Kluyveromyces lactis: one gene and its partner. The protein of the gene in region 1 purifies or fractionates together with the protein of each later gene. This does not show direct contact. Links are inferred from orthologs where the notes say so. Each region holds a gene or a part of one and is shown on either strand. Other genes may lie near its edges.

Region 1 (3,944 bases):
TCACAATTTGTCAATGGTAAGTTGTCCTGCAACGATTTCCCGTTGTATAGGGCAACTTTTGACAACGGTTATGTCCTTAAATTCTTCATAATTTTGTCACTGGGATTTCATGCAAATTTACTTCATCTCTGCGAAGAAGATGAGTACCAGAAAATGGGCATTGAAAGGTTTAGAGTTGCTAGCCAGCGAATTTTAAGAGAATACAAGCTCGAATCTCGCGTCTCTATTCCCGATATTCTGGAAGGATCTTTTAGTTATTTTGCGTTAATAAATACCACAAATCTGGAGCCAACTTATATGCCATCTCCCGATTCTGATCCATTGGAATCACAACTACATGTATTGGCATACCAGTCTTCTCTGGATAGAGTAGAATTCCAGAAAAGGGTATTTATGGGTTATTCAAATACGAAGCATTCAAACATCTTACAGAATGGAACGTTTTACAGACCACTGCCATTTTGTTTTAACGTCGAAGTACTAGACGATCCGTCACAAAAGAGCAACTTTGAAGTTTGCTGTGATGGGCAACTTCTTAACTTACTAGAGTTAGAGGGAAAGAATACTCCACCATCCACGATAAGAATTGAGACTTGTACGGAGCCATCATTAAAAGTACTACATTCTTTATAATATATTAAACCTTACATTATTGTCTATATAATTTCCAAATCATCACTTGAGCCTTCATCTTTATCGAGCCGCTCTTGGCTGCCTTTCATTATTTCATTGAAGATAGCGTTTCTCTTTTCAATTTTCTCTTTCAATTGTTTCTTCGAAGGTTTCAGGCTAACATTATCTTTCTTTATATTGCAAATATCCGTTATCGCCAGCTGTTTATCATTCTTTGGCGCCTTATTCTCTGTAGAATATTCAAGCATCTCTAAAGACGCTTTCCCTTTTGTTGGGTCATAACCAATTTGGTTCGCTAAACCATGTTGGAACATGCTCAACGTCGCAGTCTTTTTTGCTTCTTGATTGACTCGGTCTTCCTTCTTTGACAACAATTTGTCGGATAGACCCTTTAACTTTTTCTCCAAGTTTCGATTGTTTCTGAGTTCTTGAATTTTGCGTCTTTTGTTATCAAGGTTGGCCAGTATGTCAGGATTTTCGTAGTCGTCATCGAAAAACGCGGTAGAGGCATTTGCAGAACTGAAGAGGAATCTGTTGGTCTCTGCAGCTGCCGGTTCTCGTACAAACGGTTTATCAGGATTTTGTTGATATCTTATGGATGTTTTACCATTATTGTGTTGTGATTTTACAATAGTCTGTTGATATCCTTTGACAACTGGCGCTCTCATTGCCACAGAGCTACTAATTTCAACTCTTCTAGAACTGTTTTGCCTCATTTTTGCCTCTTTATGATATGCACAGTAGTTATCATGCAATTTGTTTATTGGCGCACCACATAGCTTGCCTTTGTTCTTCATGTAAAATTGGCACAATCCGAATTCCTTACTGTGACCTAGTTCCAGTATATTATTGGTGTCTTTACTAACTTTTAACGAAAATGTAGCGTAACTAGGGCTTGCTCCCGCTTCCAGTTTCTTGGAAGGCATTATTTCAGGGTTAAGTATAGCAATCAAATCACCTAATCTTAGTTTGTAATACTTTTCAACTATACTTTTCCCAAAGAAAATAACATTCAGTTCAAATTGGAAATCACTTATGGTTAGGCTGAAGAATTTCACCGGTTTCACAGAATTTGTCATTCTTGGTTCAGTTTTCTTTGAGATGATACCCAATACCAACCAATTGGGATAATCAGGTTCAGAGAACTTAGGGGCTCTCACCTTACTGAAGAGCTTTGGAAGTCGAAGCACTTTTATGTTTTTAGTATGTTTCCTAAGTACGGCCAACGGTACATACCTTCTGTCTATAACCAGACCACTCAAATCATCTTTTTCATCAACAGTAATTGGTTCATATTCATCGAACATGTCGCCATTGAATGTGTAAACTCGATGTGCCAATAATTCTTTCTTCCTTTTAATCGCTTCATGTTCATTTGTATTGATGGAGCGAAGTTTTTCAGTAAAGTAAGAAGTGGTACCCAACTTTTTGACCTTTTCCCTTACATAATCCTCATTAACATTAAATGTAGCTTCCTCTATATCTGCTACTGGCGCAATATGTTTGATATCCTCTATTCCTTTTGTAGCATTATCTGATTTCTTAGGAGACTCTGGAACGTCGATAGAATCGAAATTAGGGTCTTTGAGGTTTCTCTTCTTCTCTAGTTCCAACAGCCGGTTAGTTAAATCTCGTTTCTCAGTGTCAATTTCAACAATTCTTCGTTTCACTTTGATTTAATGATTGGTTATAATATGTTAGTAGGATATTCTAATGTCATTGATCTCGGTAACCATTATTATTAGAACATACCTCTTTCGATTTCAGATTCATCATCAGATAATTCCTCGTACGGGTCGAACGCCGTAATTTCTCTCGGGTCAGTTAGATCATATGACATGATGCATCTTCACTGTTACCTATACTCGATAGCTTCTGTAACTATTCTCGTTCATTCTTTACTTGTGGGATGTCATTATTTTGTTTTCTCGTTTGAATATCTGTGGAAAGTAATACTAGTATTTTTTACATGTTGAAAACGAATGGTCAAATAATGATACATAATAGAAAAAAATTAAATAGAACTTCGGTAATATTAACAGCCATAAAATCGTCTGGAGAATCAGGCTTCCTGACCATCCTCAGTATCACTTTCAGGCTCTTTGTGACGTTTCTCAGGCTGTTCTGTTGCGGTGTCGTCTATGGGTCTCTTATTAGGAGAAATTTCTGACGTTGAGAAGGGACTAGTGAATGTTGAATGAGAGCCAAATACAGGGGCCTGGAATGCTGCACTCATATTAGAAGTGTCATTCTCTACAGGTTTAATTGTGGACTTTTGTTGTTCTAAATTCCTGATCTTGCTTTCCAAAAATTTCAATTTCAAGGAAACTTGCTGTTTCCCTTCTTCGAAAGATTTTTGTTTTATTTCTGCCAAATCTGCTTCAAATTGCTTACGCATGGAATCCTTAAGTGCATTCAATTCTGCACGATGCTTTTCTAGAGTAATGGCATCATTTCCGATCTCTCCTGCCAATTTTTGGGCCTTTTCGTTTACCTTTTCTTCAAAGGACTCTTCTAAAACAGCTTTTCTTGCCTCAACTATTTTATCAATCTTTTGTTGAGTAGGTAACCTGATCCGTTTCTTGAGGGCTTCTTCTGCTAATTTAATTTTTTCCAGAGTCTGCTTCTCATATTCTTTTTCCCATTCATTCTTCAAAGCATCGATGTCTATATCCAAGGTAGGCTGCGAAGGAGACTGGACAGTAGTCTTTTCGCACTCTTCACGAATTCTCTTTTCTCTTTCTTCAAACTGTTTCCGGAGCTCTTCCTCTCTGGAATTCCAAGCAGATTCTTTTTCTGCCTCAAACTTGCTCCTCAATTCTTTTTCTTTATCTTTTATTAATTGTTCTTTTTCAGCTTCAAATTCTGTTTTCAAATTATCCACTATTGACTTCGTGTCTTCGTTGATAACTGGCGTATGATGTTCAGCTACTATTTTTTGAGCGTTGGAGGCTTCGGCTTCAAGCTCCTGTATTTTACTATTTAACATTTCCACAGTCTCAGTCAACGATTTTATTTTTTCATCTGAATCTGCATTATTCTGTTCGGTCTTGGAAGCATTTTCCATTTGAACCTGAATAGAATGTAGATCTTCCTGCAATTTAGATAATTGAGAGTTAAAAGTCTGTTCCTTTGTTTCTGCTTCTTGCGTTACCACTTGTAATCTTTCTTCTAACTCTTTGCAAGCGGTCTTACATTTTCCTAAATCGGCCTCCACTTGAGATTTAGCTTCATTGATTTGGTTTATTTCTGATGATAAAGATTGTTCCTTTTCCTTGGAGGCATTCAATCTATCACGTGCTTGAAGCCTA
Region 2 (2,816 bases), on another chromosome or scaffold:
GAGTTTTTTCGATACTGGGTCAGATTTGCCAGTTTGAGTAGCTTGCGATGGTGGTAGACCTATGGAATTATCATCGGTCAAAGTCCTGAAGTCAAATATATGGATATCAATCCCCTTCTTGAAAACTGTAGTCACAAGAACTGAATCGTTTGCGGAAGTGACTTCCTCTTCCACGTTGGAAGATGGAAGCTCATACCAGCTTTTCGATTGAGCCGCAGCCGATCTTTTGAATCGAGGTAAAGATGACGATATCAATGAACGATCAGTCAAGATATTATATACCAATGGGTTATTATCTGATAATTTGGACCCTGCTAAAATAGTGGTAATTAGCCCAGTAGACGAATGTGGTAGAACTGATAGCGTTTTATTCATGATTTCAAGGTCTTCCATATGACATTTCAGTTGATCGCTGTTACTAAGAATCTTATCCTGATTCAAAAATAATTGTAGAGATTCTACCAAATTCTTCTCAGTATTATCCACTTGAATAGATTCTAGTTTCTCCAATTGATTTTGATAACTGTTTCTCAATTCTCGATATTCTTGTGACAAATTTACAAAGACATGGCTGTTTGTATGTCTTTCCACAGACGGCAATCCACCATACTTGCTGATAAGGAACACCTTGTCGATATTTATGGGCAAGTTACTCACTAGAGATGATAAGAATCGAGATGGATCGCCAGCCAATTTCTTAAAAGCTTCCTTCTCATGGTACTGATATGGCTCAATAATCGGAATAATATGCGGGTTCAAAATCGGAAGTTTTACGTCAATTGAGCCACGTTCACCGATGGTAATGGGATCTAATACGATTATTGACTTCAGACTCTGATCATGCAAATGATTGTCCAAACGCTGACTTTGGTATGATATGTCTTGGCATAGCGGGTCTACTATTAAAATTGGTCTTAGTCCGAGTGTTTGAATTCTTGACACAGTCTTGCTAAACCCACTAAGTACGTTATCTGAATATTCGGACAAATGTCTCAAAAATACAAGACAGTAGTGATGATTATTCTCATCGGTATATTTGTTCAAATAGTCTTTCGCTTCCCTTTTAGTCACTGTAGAATTCAAAACGCTCATAACCAAACTCCTGCCATGAGCATTAGGTTGATGGTATCTGACCTCTGTGGTCAAACACCTAATCCATGTTTTGATCATAGCACTAGCCCACAAAATGTGCCTTTGGACGTTATATGATGAGATCAAACCATTTATCTGCAAATATGGAAAGTGTATAAAACCATCATTTATTCTAGTTTTATCAATGAGTCAAGTCATCAGAGAAAACTGCCAGTTTAAAGCTTTAGTTAGTCTTTCCTGTTTTTGTTTTTCCTGTGCTGGATTTCAATGTCAAGATTGAACATGGAAAAATAATTGAAGCACAGATATCGATTGGTCATAGTCGCGCATTGAAAGCACTATGTAAGGAAGTAGTGAGCTTGAGGACACTATAGATTAGCAACTCCAACCTGAAATAGAGATGGCACTACCGAGAGATCTATCAATAGGATTTTCTCCCCAAGAGATACAGTTTTTAATTGAAAATGAACCGACACGAATTATGCCCAGAATCACTACGAGGAAGACCAAAAAACAGCTCGCGAAGGATCCTGGCGCCCAATGGTCACTGATCACATGCGATGATTCTACGGTAAATAACATGGTTGCAATGAATAGTTGCGAAGTCACGTTATGGCTGGCTTTACTGTTAAAACAACAGGGAAAGTGTAACGTCGTGGTACCCAGTTGGCTGACGTTACAACAGCTGGAGAAGTATTTAGATTTTGAATTGAAAAACCCATCACGATTCTCCAATCTACCCTGGAATTGGCTAGTGGTATCGTCACTGCTGTTTGCCAGATGCAGCGATGATTTTCAGGATCCAGTTCATCTACTGAGATCTAAGGTCCAAGATCTGCGAGAAGTTCGTTTGGGAAAAGTCAACAAGGGTTTGCAGTACCTGAACGAATCGCATTTACAGCTAGAGAACTTGTCCTTGATGGAAATCAATGAGATGAGACCCTATGCGTGTGGTATCATGGACAAACTGAGGACAATTCATGACTCCAGTAATGACACCACGTGATCAATAATATAATAACCTTTTCCCATTGAATCCAAAATTCCATTCACGAGGTTTCCACCAGTCCCTCCCCTTAATCCAACCTACATGGTTATATGATAACACAGTTGACCATAATCACTAGAAAAGGTCGGGTTACCATGTAAGTACAGGCCTATCAAATAACACATATATTACATACCCTACATGTACCCGCTTCACAGTTTGTAGTAATTCGAAACAACTGATCCATCCCGAACATTCACGCACTGCTTAGTTCTTATTTACGTTTGTGTCGCAAACATGCCTCGCGGGCATGCCTTGCGTGTGCACCCCACGTTCTTGCTTCATCATATTTGTTGTTCTTCAGGCTATTTCGGTTCCTTGCATTGAACTACGGGTATAACTTACAGAAAACGACACAAGGGGGGAACACAAACACGGAAACGAATCACGTTTCTTCAATATTACGTTGGGAAAAGAATTTACCGTAGATAGAAAACAATAACAGTAGAAATTGAGCAGGATGAACTCATAGAGAGCAGCATGGTTGCGTTGATAACTTCCCGCTACGAAGACATTTTACCCGTAACTCTGTGTACCATGTCATAAATACAGCTCAGCATGTTTATAATATATATATATATATCTTTAGGTATATAATAAACCCCGGAAGAGAACAGAGTTGGAAACTCGGGAAATAAAACAAGTGACCTTTGATTCAGTTTATTTGCTCTGTATA

The links.
Region 2: the proteins of MCM10 (region 1) and PSF2 purify together in Saccharomyces cerevisiae (affinity purification with western blotting; 3 studies listed by BioGRID, with this or other methods). This does not show direct contact. The link is inferred for Kluyveromyces lactis from reciprocal best matches to the Saccharomyces cerevisiae genes MCM10 and PSF2.

What each region holds. Positions count from the first base shown.
Region 1 is NC_006037.1:50,609-54,552, forward strand, and holds MCM10 (Mcm10p), read right to left. Parts: upstream 2,474-3,944; coding exon 2,386-2,473; intron 2,303-2,385; coding exon 657-2,302; downstream 1-656. Other genes in the region: KLLA0_A00550g (uncharacterized protein), read left to right, coding at 1-633; MLP2 (Mlp2p), read right to left, coding at 2,696-3,944. UniProt on the Saccharomyces cerevisiae protein: Required for DNA synthesis. Required for entry into or completion of S phase. Involved in DNA replication and seems to participate in the activation of the pre-replication complex (pre-RC) and in transcription elongation.
Region 2 is NC_006040.1:557,880-560,695, reverse strand, and holds PSF2 (DNA replication protein PSF2), read left to right. Parts: upstream 1-1,492; coding exon 1,493-2,098; downstream 2,099-2,816. Other genes in the region: ARG2 (acetyl-CoA:L-glutamate N-acetyltransferase), read right to left, coding at 1-1,170. UniProt on the Saccharomyces cerevisiae protein: Functions as part of the GINS complex which plays an essential role in the initiation of DNA replication by binding to DNA replication origins and facilitating the assembly of the DNA replication machinery.